3 linked regions of the Macaca fascicularis genome follow. The protein of the gene in region 3 purifies or fractionates together with the protein of the main gene of each other region. This does not show direct contact. Links are inferred from orthologs where the notes say so. Each region holds a gene or a part of one and is shown on either strand. Other genes may lie near its edges.

Region 1 (6,135 bases), on a different chromosome or scaffold from region 3:
TAGGCCATCGGATGAATCTTGAAACCGTAGAGCCTGGACCAGGGCAGAGGTCAGAGAGGCAGTAGCATGAGCCCCATCCAGACCCTGCTAGTCACCTGCATTCCCACCTCCCCACCTGAACTCCTCCATGGACCTGCTCAGAGCTTAAGCCTAGTGGTTCCCAACTTCTCAGCTCAAGAACATTCTATGATAAGGTAACTGAAGCACAGACAATCAAATAACTTTCCCACAGTCACTCCGCAGGGAGATGCCGATTCTGGGAGAAGCAGGCCTCAAGAAAGGGCCATGCCCCATCCTCCCCTCTCTCTGGGGGATCTTAGGCCTTTCCTTTGACCCTTAATGACTCTCCCTGCTCCCTACCTGGGCACAAACTGGTTGGCGGGTCTCTTGGGCCGGTACTCGGGATGCACCATGAAGAGCATGTGAGGGAAACCAGTGCCAAAGTAGGCGCCATCCGTGTGATGGTGTCTCGATGACTTGGGTGTGTACACATCCATGCACTTGGGGCAGTAGAGCTTCACCATGGCTTCACCTGGGATGTCTGAAAGGCCTGGGAGACAGCCAGACTCAGCAGGCCAGGTATCTCCCTGTTCCTACTTAACCTCCCCTCAGGACTCAGGCCCCAAGATGCTGAGCCCTAACTCCTTCCCGTAAGACTGCCACAAGGTGCCTTCCTTTCCCTTCTTCAACACTCACCGATGGGAAGCATTGGCTGGTTCTCACAGTACACACGAGGACAGTAACCAAAGTCTCCCTGCTGGTACTTTTCCAACTGAAGTGAATAAAATGGAAGGGGTTGGCAGGTAGGTGTGAAGAGAAGAGGCAACTCCCTTCTCAGCTCAACCCATATCACTCTGTCCCCCACTCCTCCCACCTCTGTCCAGAGGCCCCTTCTCTGGCCCAGATGGGCTCTCAAACTCCTATGTTGCCTTTCTTCCAGTTAGGCAGGCTACAAACCATCAGAGCCATTTGTTGTTTGTTCCCTGAGGAAGAGGCAGTCTATCACAACTCTCTGTTCAAGGACTGTCTCCCTCCCTGAAAATTATCCCTTCAGGATGACCCCCAATCAGAATTCAATTCCCAGGCCCAAGCCTGGGGTTCTTCTCCTCTTCTCAGCCAGTTTCCTTAAACAAGGCTTAAACATGACTTCTTGCTGCAGGAACCTGTGTCCCTTACTGCTCAGAAGGAGGCAATTAGGAGCAGAGAGGCCTCACCATCTGGGCAATGCCACGGTTGGTAAGGATGTAGCGGGCGTGGATCAATCCATAAAGCATCTCGGCAGCCTGCTCAATCAGGTCACTCTGGTTGGGGTTGTCTTCCAGTTCTTCATCTGAAACACAGCCCGGCCAAATGCAACCACTTGTTTTTCAGCTTTCCTAGGTGCCCTGCCCATATCCAGGGGGTGCGGGCTATTCAGTTCGCCTGGCACCTACTTTTGGGCCTTACCCCATCCAACATCTGGGCATGTGACCCAGAAACCTGGGCTTCTGACCCTTGCGCCAACCCAAGACAGCTCTGTCTTCTCTTCACACCTCTTTAGCCTCCGCTCCCCACTCTCCCTCCCAGCTCCCTCCCCGATACATAACTGCAACAATGTCAATGCAAAAGATGAAACTCTAGACTGGAAGGTGCAAAGCAGGAGAAATAGCAAACCAGACCCATGAGGAAACATATTTTGGAAAACATCTGAATTGTGGATTTAGAAAACATGGGAACAAGTGATATACGTCACAAAACTAGACACAGTCAGGTGGAGGATCAAAATAAAGCATGAATTTGGGGTTAAAGAAATCAGAGAACCAAAGGAAATTTCAAAATTCAAGTAAGTGAATATAGATTTGAAGAGAAAAAAAGTGCATGCACACACACAAAACAACCCTGAGGGTGCCTCACCAGGCTCCAGGTCCAAGATCATGTCTAGAGCTTGTCGATAGTGAGGAACCTGCTCATTGAGTCCAGTAAGATTAAATTTGTCCTGGATGTAGTCTTCATCCACCTGTTGGGACATGGAAGCCAAGAGGGAACCCATATCAAAATCCCCATCTTTGACCTGGGCAAAATGCTCTAACTGATGCCTTATCATCAACACAACTGCATCTGTTCCGCTTGTTTCTCACTCCCAACTCAGCAGAAGTACTTGCGTCTCTCCCTAGTTCACCTATACTCCCTCCCATAAAGCTTTGGCTTTTCTTTTCTAAGGATAAGCAGGTACAGCAATCTTTTTCTTAGACATTCTTTTCAAGATCTCTGTCCCTACTCCTGTACTCCATCTCTAGGAACCAGTTTTGTCCTCTCAGCTGGCTGAGGAGGATGGAAGCTGAACGGCATGGTTTCTGAACAAAACATTTCAATACGTAGCATTTCAATTTTCCTAACAGCCAGCTGAGACAGGTACTAGCAGTACAACTTTAGTAATAAAAGATACAGGCTGGGCGCAATGGCTTATGCCTGTAATCCCAGCACTTTGGGAGGCTGAGGCGGGCAGATCACCTGAGGTCTGGAGTTTGAGACCAGCCTGGCCAACATGGTGAAACCCTGTCTCTACTAAAAATCCAAAAATTAGCCGGGCGTGGTGGCGGGTACTTGTAATCCCAGCTACTTGGGTGGCTGGAGCAGGAGAATCGCTTGAACCTGGGGGGCAGAGGTCGCAGTGAGCCGAGATCGCACCACTACACTCCAGCCTGGGCGACACAGTGAGACCCAGTCTCAAAAAAAAGATAAAGAAAAAGACACAAATTGCCTGCTGGAGGGTGGCAGAGTCGAAACTTGGGCCCCAGTTTTGCCACTTTAGCACAGGTTCGTCGGGGGTTATTGAGGGGACTCTTCGTTGATGGGAAGTTTTCAAGTAGTATGTAAGAGAACAGTGTAGAAGTGGAATACGTGAAGGAACATCTGGTGGGAAGATATGTGAAGCCAGCAAGTAGGGAGGTCGAAGAGAACTCACTTCACAGAAGAATTCATTGCCACGGAGCCCACAGAACCAGGAAATCCAGGACACCTCCTCTGAGCTGCTCATCTTCACGTCAGCTGAAAAAAAGAGTGTCAGTAAAGCTCAAGTTCTCCTTCCCTGCCTCGGGTATCCTCCCTCCTCCCACATTAGAACCACCCTTTCTTAAAGGATCCCAAACTCTGAAGCACTCCTCTCCAACTCCTCCAATTTACATCTCAGTTCCCTTTTCTTTGACGTTAAACATTCTTTGGGGTCCCACCACTTGAAAGAAGCCAACAGATACTTTGACCCACCAGCCCGACCCACGTCCCTGGAGCTCCCGAAAGCCAGGGCCCTCTCTTCTCTGTGTCAACTCCGGCAGGGACCTCGACTCAGGCTCCGTACCAATGCAAGTCTCTGCACGACCCCGGCGCCTTTCCCAAGGATTTCCAAGTTTATCACTCTCAAGCAAGAATCGGGCGCCTCCTTTTCTCAAGGGTTGGGGGCGACTGTCAGGTCCCTTTCACCGGATTCCACACATCCCCCCTCCGCTCCTCAAGCCACCTCTCCCTCCTTGCCGGACCTGGTTGCTTCCTCCCCCCGCCCCCATATCAAAGTGCGGAGACCCATGTGCGGCTCCCAGCGACAAGCGACTAGGAGCAGCGAAGACCTCAGACTCACCAGCTGGACGGGGACCAGGACTGGGGTGGGGTAGGGAAGTTGCTACTTCGAAGGAACGGCGGCGACCGCTACAGCGCAGGCCGCGGACCCGACCGCGGCAGGCGAAGTGGGGTGGGGGGAGTGGAAATTGGGGAGGGTGGGGAAGAGGGCAACACGCAAGCGCCAAGGGTCAGGTGCCGCGGTGGATGCCGGGACGCGGAGTCCCCGGTAGAGAGAGAAACCGGCTAAGTGAGGGAAAGCGAACTACCAATCCCAGGATGACCCGCGCACGACCTGGCTGTCACGAAGCCCCGGAGGAGGACGCTTGCGGGCGGGGCGCAACGAGAAGCCACCGGAAGCGGAAACCAGGTATGGCGTTCGGGGCCTGGGAGCCTGGGCAATACAGTTGTGTGCTCACTGGGCGAAGAAGCTGACTTAGGGCGGGGAAAGGAGGGAGCCAGGCTGGACCCCTCCTCGCAGCTCTCCTCACAGTTGCCCTCTAGTCCCGACGCGGTGCTGCTTCCCTGGGGACTGGCCTATCCTTGGCCAATGCGCTGGGTCCTTATTGCCTGTTGGGCCCCTAGTGCGAGTCAGTCCCGCCAGAGACCCTTGACGGGCCTTCTGTTTTACTCCGGGCTCCGGCCTCATGAGGCGAGAGGTGCGGCTTGGCTCCGTGCGTAGGGACTTGGGTTGGGAGGGCTGGGCTGGGCTGGGCTGGGCTGGGCTGGGCTGGGCTGGGCTGGGCTGGGTGAGAACCAGAACGGCCCAGTGCGCTAACCTGAGGTGGTGCCAGCCATTCTGCTCGTCCCCTTGCACTTCTCCATTTCCCCTTAGTCTCTAAGTGTGACCTTCGAACCCTGGTCAGAGTAATGGTGAGGGGCAGGCGTGACGTTATTTCATTACACGGCTTCTCGGCATTCCACAGGTTTCCCTCCGCCTCCTGAGGGCCTTTCCTAACCCAGAGAGTGGATTCCTAGCTCCAGAAAATGGGCTTGGAGCGGGGGCCACGTAGAGGAAGGCGAAGGGCATTGTGGGGGCGTTATGTAAAAGTAGGACCCCAACCGACAGATCCTAGCGCTCGCGCCACCTGGGCGCGCGGAGCTTTGCTCGTTTACTATTGGAAAAGTTCCAGCGCGGGAAACTGAACCGGGAGCTTTGCGCACGCCTGAGCCATCAAGTAATGTGGGTGGTGGTTTTTGTTGTTGTTGTCGCCACGCATGCGTCTCCGTGCCGTGTGGCTATTTGATTGTGTCAACTCTGCTGATCAGAATAGCGCCATTTTGCGTTACGGAAGCTACACGGCAACACGTATAGGAGCCTCTCCCCGAGATCTTCTAGGGAGTGACCCGTCTATTTTTGTTTGGGAAGAGGAAACTCCGAAATGGGATCACGGAAGACTTAAAGGGCCAGGTTTGATTTTTTTTTTTCCTACTGGTATGTCTGTTTTACGGGGTGAGAAAGTGATTTCAGAAAGAGGCTGGTATTTATTGTTGGTAAGGATGGGGGTGGGGGCCGGACGCAGGACCTCTGGACGACTGTCTCATGGAGTTTGATTAATCTTTACTAAGGAGCAAAGTCGGTATTGTAGGGTTTCGTGTTTTTACGCATATACTCTCTCCCTTAGACCCTGCAGAGTCTTAAGTTGTGGGGTCACTTTAGCGGCAGGAAAGTGTTTTTGACTACTTTTTCTCATCCCAGCAGGTCCCTGAGGCTCTGGTTGCTACAGAGTCACCAGGAGCTTGGCTTGCTTGTCGCATCCTTCCCTTGCCTGGTATCATTTTCTCAGTTCTCCCAAAAGCCATGTCCCAGCCCTTCCTCATCACCTTCACCCCAGCCACTGACCCCAGCGACCTCTGGAAGGATGGGCAGCAGCAGCCACAGCCCGAGGAGCCAGAGTCCACCCTGGATGGAGCTGCAGCCCGAGCTTTCTATGAGGCCCTTATTGGGGATGAGAGCTGCGTTCCTGACTCCCAAAGATCTCAGACTGAACCTGCCAGAGAAAGAAAGAGAAAGAAAAGAAGAATCATGGGGGCAGCTGCAGCAGAAGCAGTGGCAGAAGGAGTATCAGGAAGATATGGACAAGGGAGATCCCTTGAGGCTGAGGATAAGATGACTCACCGGATACTGAGGGCAGCCCAGGAGGGGGACCTGGCAGAACTTAGGAGACTGCTGGAGCCCCATGAGGCAGGAGGAGCTGGGGGGAATATCAATGCTCGGGATGCCTTCTGGTGGACCCCACTGATGTGCGCTGCTCGAGCGGGCCAGGGGGCAGCTGTGAGCTATCTCCTGGGCCGTGGGGCTGCCTGGGTGGGGGTCTGTGAGCTGGGTGGCAGGGATGCGGCTCAGCTCGCTGAAGAAGCTGGCTTTCCTGAGGTGGCCCGCATGGTCAGGGAAAGCCATGGAGAGACAAGGAGCCCAGAGAACCGGTGAGGGGAAACTTTAGCTCAGACCCCTGTCTCATTGTGTTCTGCCTCTCCCAGCCACTCCACACCAGAGGCCCCAGCACAGTGCTGAGTTCTTTCCTTATCCTCATGTGTAGGTTGACA
Region 2 (6,284 bases), on a different chromosome or scaffold from region 3:
ACCCATCCAGATCTGGAGCCAGCTTTCTGGGTCACTTTTTAAAGTCCATCTCTTCTTTTTTTTTTTTTTTTTTTGAGACGGAGTCTTGCTCTGTTGCCCAGTGCAGTGGTATGATCTCGGCTTACTACAACCTCTGCCTCCTGGGTTCAAGCAATTCTCCTGCCTCAGCCTCCCAAGGAGCTGGGATTACAGGTGCCCACCACTGTGCCCAGCAAATTTTTGTATTTTTAGTAGAGACAGGGTTTCACCATTTTGGCCAGGCTGGTTTCGAACTCCCGACCTTGTGATCCACCCGCCTCGGCCCCCCAAAGTGCCACCACACCTGGCCTAAAGTCCATCCTTTAAGGCAACCATGCTGTTGGGCTGGAAGCCAGGAGAGCCCCACTATAATAGGGCAGGGAGCCAGGCTAGGAATTGGAAACAGTAAGAATGTGAAATAGGATGAGCATTTGAAGACCCTCTTAAAAACGAAAAAAAAAAAAAAAAAAAAAAAAAAGACTGCATTCCAAAAATAATGCAGAAAGGCAAGTCTTGGGAGGAAGGTTTGGTCTTAACGGTGAAATCTGGAAAAGGTATAGGAAGTACAATACTTGAAAGATACCCTGAAAAGATTTCTTTTGGCCGGCAACATTCAGTAGATTACAGCTGTTTCTGTGGTTATTTTTGTAGATTAACATGGACCAAAATACGGCATCATCTTACTGGGCGCGTTCACTTCCCGACAGTTCCAGAACATGGCACTCGATCTGTCCTTGTTGCCTTCTAAACTATTCGAAGCAGACTCTGTATCAGCCTTTCTAGCTTCTGAAATAAAGGCACAGGAATTACAGGGAAGCAGAGTGAGTGATCTGGGGCGTGGAGGGTTTTTCTTCCATTGCTGTGCAGTTTGGAAAGTTGCCATCTATTCAGGTTTCACTCAAACCGGCTTTTTCCAGACCCCAGAACAAATTGTAGCCAGAAGCTCTGCTCTTTGTCAGGAGGCAATTATACCCCAGACTTAGCCAGGAACTTGCCCTCTTCCCTTAGAGAACAACTTCTCTTTATGTATAAGGATCCTGGCTCTCCTTTTACCCAGGGGGTTGGGATACAGCCTCTAAGTTCTTTCTAGAAAGACCCCAGCTGTCCCAGGGTTTCCATTTTGTTTTTTACCATTGCACAGGTCTCTGGATATCACACCTTCCTAATAGCGACTGAAATGTCTCATAGCCTTTCCTTGTTTTTGTTTCTCTTTAGCTAAAGAAAGCAAAAATAAATAATCCCCATCTCCACTGTTGGAAACCCCAGGCTTTTTAACCTTTGGAGGAGCTTCACACAAGATAGAGATCTGTGAAGCTACATAGGCTGGCACTGAGTGTAACCCTTTGCCCATAAAGTTAAGGTTAGGAAGCTTGGTTCCTATTTTCTGTTCAAATACTGTTTTCCTTTGTTAGAGATAAACTTCTTTTAAGGCAAAGAATCACTTATATGATAGAACCTTTAGAATAATCCTGTTGACTACAAACAGGATAGTGCAACTCTTCCATATTTTGAATGTGGTGGTGATTGCATGACTGTGTTATGGGTGTTAGAACATAAAACTAGCCACTAAAAAGGCTAATTTTTGGAGGGAGACCGTCTGTTCTGTCGCCCAGGCTGGAATGCAGTGGCACGATTTCGGCTCACTGCAGCCTCTCCCTTTCTCAATTCTCGTGCCTCAGCCGCGCCATCATGCCCGGCTAATTTTTTGTATTTTAGAAGAGATGGGGTTTTGTCATGTTGGCCAGGCTGGTCTCAAACTCCTGAGCTCAAGCGATCATCCTGCCTCGGCCTCCCAAAGAGGTGGGATGGAAAGGCGTGAGCCACCGCGCCCGGCCCAAGGCGGCTGATTTTTACTGTACCTAAAGTCTACCTCGATTAAGAACACCAGGCCGGGTGCGGGTGGCGGGCGGACTGCCTGAGGTCAGGAGTTCGAGACCAGCCTGGCCAACATGGTGAAACCCCGTCTCTTCTAAAAATACAAAATTAGCAGGCGTGGTGGCGCGCGCCTGTAATCCCAGTTGCACGGGAGGCTGAGGCAGGAGAATCCCTTGAACCCGGGAGGCGGAGGTTGTGGTGAGCCGAGATAGCGCAACTGAGCGACAAAGCGAGAGACTCCATCTCAAAAAAAAAAAAAAAAAAAAAGAGGTCGAAGCTGTCTAAGCGGGCGCTGCGGTGGACTAGCGGTCAAGCCTGCCCGCGAGCGGCTCACCTGATTCGCCCCCAAAACCGGCCTCCAGCGGCGTACTCGACCCTGCAGTACCCCCTCCCACGCGGCTTGTGGTCGGGAAGCCTGCAGGAGGCGCCAGAGCCTTCGCAGGGGTTGCAGTCTAGCGCAAGGGCCCTCAGCTTCCAAGGCACCCGCAACCTTCCGACCCCCGGAGAAGGCCCCGCGCGTCTGAGCCCCTCCCTGCCAGCGGCCAGCCCTGCCACTACACTCAGCCGCGGCCGCGCTGACGTCACCACCCCCACTCCCGGCCTCGCGAGGCCGTTCCCGCCCCGCCCCCTTTCCCGGCGTGCGCCGCGGCTAAGGCTCCTCGCCCTCAGCTTCTGCCTGTCGCCCCAAAATGGCGGACACAATGAGCCGGCGACGCGCCGGTTGTCCGTGAGGTGGCTGTGAAGACGAACAGACGGCGAGGCTCCGCAGTTCAGGCAGAAGACCCTCGTCCAAGCAGGAGGAAGAGGAGGAGGTGGCCCAACTGTTGGCCGACTTCCCTCTAGCCGCCGGCGCGGCGCCCGCCCCGCCTGGGTTGGCCCCTCGGCAGCCCGCCCGTTCGCCGCCGGGCCCCGCCCCGGTCCTGCGCCGCCGCTGCCTTCCTCAGCCGCCGCCATGAAGCTGACCGATAGCGTGCTGCGGAGCTTCCGCGTCGCTAAGGTGTTCCGCGAAAACTCGGACAAGATTAACTGCTTCGATTTCAGCCCCAACGGCGAGACGGTCATCTCGAGTAGCGACGACGACTCCATCGTGCTCTATGACTGCCAGGAGGGCAAGTGAGTGCGGCGGAGGCCCTGGGCCCAAGTCTCAGTGCCTCCCTCCCTCCGGTGGCCCAGCACTGGTCCCTCGGCCCGCCCTCCGTTCCAACTTCAGCCCCCGGCCTATTTTGCACGCGTTCCTGCCAGGGCCGCCTCCACCCCGCAGCAGTCCAGGAGACCTTTTATTTTTTCTTATTAAAAAAAATTACGATAGTCATAATTTTATAATAGCATTCTTATTTGTAAGTTTTCGGTCTCCTTTGAGCGCTATGCATCGCTTGCCAAACCCCACCTTGACCTTGACCTTTAAACGCCCGGTCCGCCCACCGTGGGCCCAGCAGGTAGCGTTTTCAGCTTCTCAGGCTGTCAGAGGTGCTGGTCTGCTCCGGCCTCGACGCAGGACTGCAGGGGCTGCTCTCCTGCCTCCTTCGGCAGCGTCAGCTCGCTCTTCTGCCCTCTCCGCTGTGACCTCGATTCCGCCCTGGCACTCCGCCTATCCCCTGCCCCTCAGCTTCCCGCGGCCTTTCTGCCGTCAGACAGCGTGGGTTGCAGTTCTTAGCTGTCAGGATTTATTTGTTGTGCCTCTTTGAGCCCCCTTGCTTTTTCTTCGTGCTCGTAGCCTTTCTCTTATTCTTTCAAACTCGGTGCCCACGTTCATAAGTGAACTTTTCAGCAACATCTAAAACTTCTTTTTGCCACACACAAACGAACTTGGTCTTCCCATCCTGACCTGAATGTGAGCTTCCGTTAAAACAAAGCAAGCATCGTAGAACAATTTCAGGTTTCCTTTCATACTTTTTTTTTCTATTACACTTTTTGGTCCACTTTGAATTCCAATTCTGATCATGAAACTTTTATGTTGCCACAAGTCATCTGGAGACCCACCATACCTGCATCTTTTCGCAAAATCTAAGCACAGCACTTTGACTTTTCCCCTGGGGGTCCTTGTCAGCCCCCTCACCGCACGCCTGTGGACTTGCAGCTCCTTGGAGCCAAAACTAGTTTAGATTAAATTTGTTTTACCCTTAGCCACCTTCCCCAAGAAGGCTTGCTGATGTTTGGTTTAATTCGGTGACCTCTGGTTTTGTCAGACTTGATTTTGTTACCTAGTAACAGATACTATTATTATTATTGTGAGGTCTTGGGTTTTTTCCTACCTTCTCCAGCTGTTCCTTTTGCCTTTTTTTTTTTTTTTTTTTTAAACTGGTGTCTTTCTTTTGGAACGTATCTCTTCATTTGTGAATTTGATTATCTGAAATAATGCTAGTTTGGACTGAGCTATAATGGTATCCCCCCTAATTTTTTTTCCCACTGGGACTGTGAGAAATTATTACGTAACCGGCTCTGGATCTGCCTGCAGTATGTAGCAGAGTGGTCTGCAGTGGTGGTCTTAAGGAAGAGGGAATTGTTAGCTGAACAAATACTTAGTTATTTGAGTCAGTGTTACTCCTTGAGTAGATAGATTTCTGTCCTGGTCTGGTCACTTGAATCAGTTTAGAAGAGGAAGTAACACTTAAAGGTGTGGTAGTAGGGTTGGCATTGTGGGGTCCTGGAGGAGTAATTTGAAGCTGGCTTGCATGAAATGTTTAGTGCTTTTGCACAGATTAGAACCTCTTCCCAGAACCTCAGGATGGAGATATATATCCTCATTTAAAGAAAATGAAGGTTGTGATAGCCTTTCTTTGCAGTTTGTCCCCAAATTTGGCATAATTTTGATTTGGGAAGGATGACCTTGACGTGAAGTCCTGTCTTTTTTTTTTTTCCTTGTGTTTTTGGGACAGAGTCTCCCTCTGTTGCCCAGGCTGGAGTGCAATGGCATGATCTTGGCTCACTGCAACCTCTACCTCCCGGGTTAAAGCGATTCTCCTGCCTCAGCTTCACAAGTAGCTGGGATTACAGGCGCCTGCCACCATGCCCTGCTAATTTTTGTATTTTTAGTAGAGACGGGTTTCACCATGTTGACCAGGCAGGTCTTGAACTCCTGACCTCAAGTGATCCACCCACCTCGGCCTCCCAGAGTGCTAGGATTACAGGCATGACGTGCTGCGCCTGGCCAAATCCTGTCTTGTTAAAAGTAAAATGCTAGTTTTGTGACATAAGGCAGTTTATTCACTCACATAGCATTTTTTACATAATTGCAAATGAACAGAAAGTTACAACAATGTTTCAGATAACTCCCATATGATTCAGTAACTGGTTACATTTTCTGCATTTGCTTCATCACTGTAGGTAAATATTTATATGTACTGTGTGCCTCCCCCCACCCTTAGAGTTGGAGGTATCAAGCCCTTTTATCTCTAAACACTTCAACATGGACTTTCTTTCATCTTTCTTTTTCTTTCCTTTTTTTTTTTTTTTTTTTGAGATAGAGTCTCGCTTGGCCGCCCAGGCTGGAGTGCAGTGGCGTGATCTTGGCTCACTGCAACCTCCAGCTCCTGGGTTCAAGCGATTCTCCTGCTTTAGCCTCCTGAGTAGCTGGGATTACAGGTGTGCGTCACCAAGCCCGGCTAATTTTTGTGTTTTTAGTAGAGACAGGGTTTCACCATGTTGGTCAGGCTGGTCTCGAACTCCTGACCTCGTGATCTGCCCTCCTCGGCCTCCCAAAGTGCTGGGATTACAGGTGTGAGCCACCACACCTGGCTCAACATGGATTTTCTAAGCACAAAGACATTCTTACATAACCAGAGATCCAAATTAGGAAATTTAGTATTGATACAATACTACAGGGCATGCTCTTTTGAGTTTTCTTTGATCAATTAATTGTGACCTTGTTTTGTTATCTGTGGTGAAGGAGTGGCCTGGTAGGTAGGAGAGAACTGCGTTCTAATTTGGCCTGTGACTAGGTATGTGACATTGGTCAAATTCTCTGGATATTAAACAACCTCTTTAGTTTCCATTCTAGGCAATAATATGACAAAAAATTTTGTTGCTAGTATAGGTCAAACCAACCTCAGAAGAAAAGAAGTATTTCCTTGGAAGACATGGTATTGTATCTTTTTTTTTTTTTTTTGATACGGAGTTTCGCTCTTGTTGCCCAGGCTGGAGTGCAATGGCGTGATCTCAGCTCACTGCAACCTCTGCCTCCCGGGTTCAAGCGATTCTCCTGCCTCAGCCTCCTGAGTAGCTGGGATTACAGGCATGCACCACCATGCCTGGCTAATTTTGTATTTTTAGTGAATACGGAGTTTCTCCATGTTGGTCAGGCTGATCTCAAACGCCCAACCTCAGGTTATGCACCGCCTCAGCCTCCCAAAGTGCTGGGATTACAGGCATGAGCCACTGTGCCTGCCCAGCCT
Region 3 (5,673 bases):
TGAGTGCCCTGGGCCCCCGTGGTAGGCAGGGAACACTATCCTGGGCCCAGCCAGGTTCCTCTTGTCAGGGTAAGCCTGGCTGGGGCAGGGTCCTGCCTCTCTCCCCAGCTGTGGGAGTCCTGGTCTGCAGCTTCCCTCACAGGTGCCTTTTCCTTCTTCTAGGTTCCCTGGACCTGGTGGACCCCCAGGGCCAATGGGCCCTGGGCCCAACATGGGACCCCCAGGGCCAATGGGCGGTCCAATGCATCCTGACATGCACCCTGACATGCACCCAGACATGCACCCCGACATGCACCCGGACATGCACCCCGACATGCAGATGGGCCCTGGCATGAATCCTGGCCCACCCATGGGCCCTGGTGGCCCGCCAATGATGCCCTACGGCCCTGGAGACTCCCCACATTCTGGAATGATGCCCCCTATCCCGCCAGCCCAGAACTTCTATGAAAACTTCTACCAGCAGCAGGAGGGCATGGAGATGGAGTCCGGACTCCTGGGGGATGCAGGTATGGGGGCTCCAGGTGTGACTGCCTGGGGTTGCGGGCTTTACACAGTGGAGTAGTCAGGGAGATGTGATTTTTCTTCCTTTGTCTGAGTCTCTTAGAAAGCATGACTCCATCTCTGTCCCATTTAATGGTTGAATGTTTTCAGTAACATAGGATTTATTATTCTGTTGAGGAAGAAAGGAATATTCTGTTTATTATCATTATAGGTTATTTCTTTTTAATTTTGCAAGCTGTGCCTGGAATCGGAAGCATGGGAAGTTAGAGGGACGAGTGTGCAAGGGTGTGAGGCTGAGAGGCTGATGGGCTCATCAGGGCTCAGTTAGTGGCCTGGCCAAAACTCTCTCTTTCCAGGCAGTTCTCGGCTTGGAGCAACCAGTGTCTACCCCAGGACTCTGCGGGTTCTGTGCCCTTTACCGGCCGTTTTCCTGCCTTTTTTTCCTTTTGCATTGGTAACATGTGTCCAGTGAGCAGAGGGGTTTAGATGACGCTACAGCTGTAGGAGATGCGATGTGCAGCCCTCTGGAGGAGGAGGGCCAGGCACAGTAGGCCCCCACTGTCCTTGCCCAGTTGCATCTTGGTGGAATGAAGCAGGTGGCAAGCGTGTAGATAGAGGAGTTGGCTCCTTTCAGCACTGGCCATTGTTAGAAGAAAAGGTAGGGTACCGTGGTGGTGGGCCAGAAGGCTCAGTGCCTCAATGGGGATGGTCACAAAAGTCTCTCTGAGAAGTGAAGCAGCACTTGCAACGTGAGGAACGATGGGACCTCTGGGCGGGGGCGACGCTGTGTTGAGCTGGGGATGCTGCTGTGGCAGCTGCTGGGGGCTGTCCCTGGGCAGAGGCAGCAGGGCAGCCACTGGAGTGCAAGGCAGGGCTTCGAGGTTTGGATGCGGCGCCGTAGGGCAGTGTGAGTCCTGTGTGTGTTTTGCAAGGCAGGTAGGAGCGGCATTGAGGATAGGGCGCTGGACGTGGGGCATAGTCACTCCAGGGTGCCTGCCCCTCTGATGGCCATGTGGAAATTTTGAGGGGTAGTTTCAGGGGCATCAGGGAGAGGCCCAGGCTAGAGATCAAAATGTAGACATGGGCTTTGACTTTAGGTGGTGCATGGAGCCAGGAGAGCAGGTACTCGAGTGAGAGTGGGTGCTTTAGAAAGATGAGAAAAACAGGCTGCCACAATGAGGTGCTGGGGTTCCCTTTAACAAAAGCATCTCAAAGGTGCATGGGAGAAGCTTTGCTGGCGGGAAACCAGAAGTCGGTCACATTGGTAGCAGTAGGTGTCTCTAGGGTAATCCTGTTTCATAAAATCCTCCCTCTAACATATGTGGTCTGTGGTTTCTGGTGTGTGCACAGACTGTATGAAGGGGGACCCTTGGCTGTCTGGTTCGTCGAGTGGGTCCCAGCTCTGCGCTGGGATGTGTCACAGAGCAGGCTGGCCCATCAGGTTCACTTGACGAAGTTGAAATTAATGTAAGCTAAGTTACAAGTGCACTTTTTTAGACACCACGTTTTAAATGCTCAGCTGCCCCAGGAAGATTTAGGTGGCCACATGTTGCCCTGCAGATCTAGAACATTTCCATCACTGCATAGCGTTCTGTGGGGAAGCACTGACTCTAGACATCCCCCCGTCTCGGTGACTCGCTGTCTCCCATGCTCACATGTCATGCACACACACAACATGCAGGAGGTGTCGCCGAGCCTGCCCTCCCCTTTACTCCTGCTGCGTCCCCACGTCAGCCTGTGCCGCTGCCCACAGCTCTTGGCTCAGGCACTGGGGGAGTGCATGGGGTGAGGTGGTTGGTGCCAGTGCCCACACCGCAGGAGGTGGAGGCCCGGTGCTTCCTGAGAGACCCCCTAATGCTGTGGAGCAGGAGGGAAGGCACTCTGGAGCCTCTGTTGGCCAGAGCAGCACTTTGGCTCATTTCATTCTCTTTTCCTGGCTTTTAATGTTGAACATGGTTGAGTTCACTATGAGATATACAGTGTTTTCTTATTAATTGTTAGAAAGAAACCATGAAACTCCTGTCCATCCAAAATAATTAAACAAGTACAGGAAAGAGTGCAGGATCCATCCCTGGCCTCTCTAGAATCTGCGTCCCAGAGGGACTGTTTCTGTCTTTTCAAAGCCTTCTCCTTGCGTCTTACAAATGTACATCCGATGTTCCATCCTGTTTCCACCTCATAAGCGTTTGCCCCATCACTCAACCCTCTCTGAACCTCATTCTTCACATAGGCGGGGCTACCCATGGGCGGCTCCGTTCCCCTGAGACCTGGGGAGGGCAGGCAGGGGCAGGCTGTGCGTCCTTCTCCATCACCATCTGGGTGGGTTTGCAGTGAGGGGCAGGGTGGGGCTGGAGTTGGCACCTGGAGGCCCTTCCCGACATGAACCCTCGGTTCTTCCCTGCCACAGAGGACTACGGGCACTACGAAGAGCTGCCAGGGGAGCCTGGGGAGCACCTCTTCCCTGAGCACCCTCTGGAGCCCGACAGCTTCTCTGAGGGAGGGCCCCCAGGCCGGCCGAAGCCAGGCGCCGGTGTCCCTGATTTCCTGCCCTCAGCCCAGAGGGCCCTGTACCTGAGGATCCAGCAGAAGCAGCAGGAGGAGGAGGAGAGAGCGAGGAGGCTGGCTGAGAGCAGCAAGCAGGACCGGGAGAATGAGGAAGGCACGTGTCCGCCCCAGGGGCCGGGGCACAGGCCCTGGGCCACTGTGCAGGGGAGCGGAGGTGGTGGGGTGTTCCAGGTTGGGTTTCCTGTCGGGAAGGAGCCCATGGCTAGGGAGGACCCCTGTCCAGGGCCATGAAGCCGGGTTGGGGCTGCTGTATATCCCTGAGAAAACTGGCAGTCAGGGATGGCTTTCTGTGTTGGGTTCAGGAGAGACCCTGATCCCATAGAGTAGGGTGGAGGGCTGGTTTCTGGAAGAGAAAGCCGCCAACAGGATCAGCTGCCTGCGCCCTGCCAGAGGAGGCTTTAGGGAGACTCTCAAAGCCCCCGTTTTCCTACCATGTTCTCAAGGAGCCAACAGACAAGAGAGTCATTGAAATTAACCAGTAATAATCATAGTCATGAGCCACAAAGTCTCAGTTGCTGTGTGGTTGACTTAGTGGTGTCCGCCTTGGGGTAAAATGACAAGTGGTTTCTGGATCCTGAAACTAGAGGCCACAGGTGGCCCTGACAGTATCCCAGGAGCCAGTGGGACAGCAGGAAGAGGGGCGGCTCCCCTGATGGCCCAGGCTGTACTGGCCTAGGTTTTGCTTGAGCCCATGTCTGAGTCTGCCCAGCCGGCCCTGCCTCTTAGCTGGTGACTGGTTGGTCCAGCCGCCCTTCCCTGGGACATGGGGACATCGTGAGCCGGTTTGGGAGCAAGTGTTTGTGAGCCCTAGGCCCAGCCAGAACTGAGTCAATGGTATCTGCTACGAGGACCTCCAGAAGGAGGTGCCCACAGCTGCACTTGCCACAGTGGGGGCTGAACCAGCCCAGAGGTGGGCGGGAGGAGACGCCAGAGCTCTGGGTTAGGAGTCCCAGCCCAGTCCTGGCCCTGATGTCTAAGTAACGGCACCGTGCCTCTGTTTTCACATCTGTCAAATGGGCATGATAGTATCACTACTTTCTGGGGTGGTTAGTAGTTTGTTTTATTTTAAGTAACTCACTAGTGCAGTGCCGCCACTGAGGAGCGCTGGGGAGCATGGCATAAACGGTAGCGCCTTAGCTCCCTGGGTCTCCTCAGCCGCCTGTTGTGGGGAGGGAGCCTTAGAGAGGAGGACCTGAGGATCTGAGAGGCACGAGCAAAGGAGCTGCTCACGGTGGGCTGCTGTGGGGTCCAAGAGGACGGGTGGTGGATGCGCCCACTTACCCTTCCCTGCTCCTCTGTTCTTTCCCAGGTGACACTGGAAACTGGTACTCAAGTGATGAGGATGAGGGTGGAAGCAGTGTAACCTCCATCCTGAAGAGCTTGAGGCAGCAGACGTCCAGCCGACCCCCAGCTTCAGTTGGAGAGCTGAGCAGCAGTGGGCTGGGAGACCCCCGCCTCCAGAAGGGACACCCAACAGGAAGCCGGCTGGCAGACCCTCGCCTCAGCCGGGACCCCAGACTCACCCGCCACGCAGAGGCTTCTGGCGGGTCTGGCCCAGGGGATTCCGGACCCTCTGATCCTCGGCTGGCTCGCGCCCTGCCCACCTCCAAGCCTGAAGGCAGCCTTCATTCCAGCCCTGTGGGCCCCAGCAGTTCCAAGGGGTCTGGGCCGCCCCCTGCGGAGGAAGAGGAAGGGGAGCGGGCCCTGCGGGAGAAGGCCGTGAACATTCCCCTGGACCCACTCCCCGGGCACCCCCTGCGGGACCCACGGTCACAACTGCAGCAGTTCAGCCACATCAAGAAGGACGTGACCCTGAGCAAGCCCAGCTTCGCCCGCACCGTGCTCTGGAATCCCGAGGACCTGATCCCCCTACCCGTCCCCAAGCAGGACGCAGTGCCCCCCGTGCCCGCTGCCCTGCAGTCCATGCCCACCCTGGACCCCCGCCTGCACCGCGCCGCAACGGCAGGGCCCCCCAACGCCCGGCAGCGCCCAGGTGCCTCCACGGACTCCAGCACACAGGGCGCCAACCTCCCCGACTTTGAACTTCTCTCTCGCATCCTCAAGACGGTCAATGCCACCGGCTCCTCAGCTACTCCTGGTTCCACTGACAAACCCAGTGACCCCCGGGTGCGGAAGGCCCCCACCGACCCTCGGCTGCAGAAACCCACAGACTCTACGGCCTCCTCCCGGGCTACCAAGCCCAGCCCCGCTGAGGCACCCTCTCCCACTGCCAGCCCGAGTGGGGATGCCTCCCCACCAGCCACCGCTCCCTATGACCCTCGCGTGCTGGCAGCCGGTGGGCTGGGCCAGGGTGGAGGGAGCGGGCAGAGCAGCGTGCTGAGCGGCATCAGCCTCTACGACCCGAGGACTCCCAACGCGGGGGGCAAAGCCACAGAGCCGGCCGCTGACACAGGTGCCCAGCCCAAGGGCGCTGAAGGTAATGGCAAGAGCTCGGCCTCCAAGGCGAAGGAGCCCCCGTTCGTCCGCAAGTCTGCCCTGGAACAGCCAGAGACAGGGAAGGCCGGTGCCGATGGGGGCCCCCCCACGGACAGATACAACAGCTACAACCGGCCCCGGCCCAAGGCCGCTACAGCCCCCACCGCCACC

What was found. Proteins that work in one complex are often made in the same cells at the same time.
Region 1: the proteins of ZC3H4 (region 3) and CSNK2B purify together in Homo sapiens (affinity purification with mass spectrometry; 3 studies listed by BioGRID and IntAct, with this or other methods). This does not show direct contact. The link is inferred for Macaca fascicularis from reciprocal best matches to the Homo sapiens genes ZC3H4 and CSNK2B.
Region 2: the proteins of ZC3H4 (region 3) and WDR82 purify together in Homo sapiens (affinity purification with western blotting; 4 studies listed by BioGRID and IntAct, with this or other methods). This does not show direct contact. The link is inferred for Macaca fascicularis from reciprocal best matches to the Homo sapiens genes ZC3H4 and WDR82.

Annotation. Positions count from the first base shown.
Region 1 is NC_088378.1:140,053,208-140,059,342, forward strand, and holds the start of CSNK2B (casein kinase II subunit beta), read right to left. Parts: upstream 3,714-6,135; 5' UTR 3,611-3,713; intron 3,028-3,610; 5' UTR 3,017-3,027; coding exon 2,945-3,016; intron 1,997-2,944; coding exon 1,894-1,996; intron 1,331-1,893; coding exon 1,215-1,330; intron 773-1,214; coding exon 697-772; intron 551-696; coding exon 361-550; intron 34-360; coding exon 1-33. Other genes in the region: GPANK1 (G patch domain and ankyrin repeat-containing protein 1), read left to right, coding at 5,390-6,015. UniProt on the Homo sapiens protein: Regulatory subunit of casein kinase II/CK2.
Region 2 is NC_088376.1:115,351,790-115,358,073, reverse strand, and holds the start of WDR82 (WD repeat-containing protein 82), read left to right. Parts: upstream 1-2,571; 5' UTR 2,572-2,643; coding exon of another isoform or gene 2,644-2,845; coding exon 2,846-3,006; intron 3,007-6,284. Other genes in the region: uncharacterized protein, read right to left, coding at 2,228-2,542, 2,644-2,847. UniProt on the Homo sapiens protein: Regulatory component of the SET1/COMPASS complex implicated in the tethering of this complex to transcriptional start sites of active genes.
Region 3 is NC_088393.1:55,065,639-55,071,311, reverse strand, and holds part of ZC3H4 (zinc finger CCCH domain-containing protein 4), read left to right. Parts: intron 1-162; coding exon 163-506; intron 507-2,908; coding exon 2,909-3,160; intron 3,161-4,375; coding exon 4,376-5,673. UniProt on the Homo sapiens protein: RNA-binding protein that suppresses transcription of long non-coding RNAs (lncRNAs). LncRNAs are defined as transcripts more than 200 nucleotides that are not translated into protein.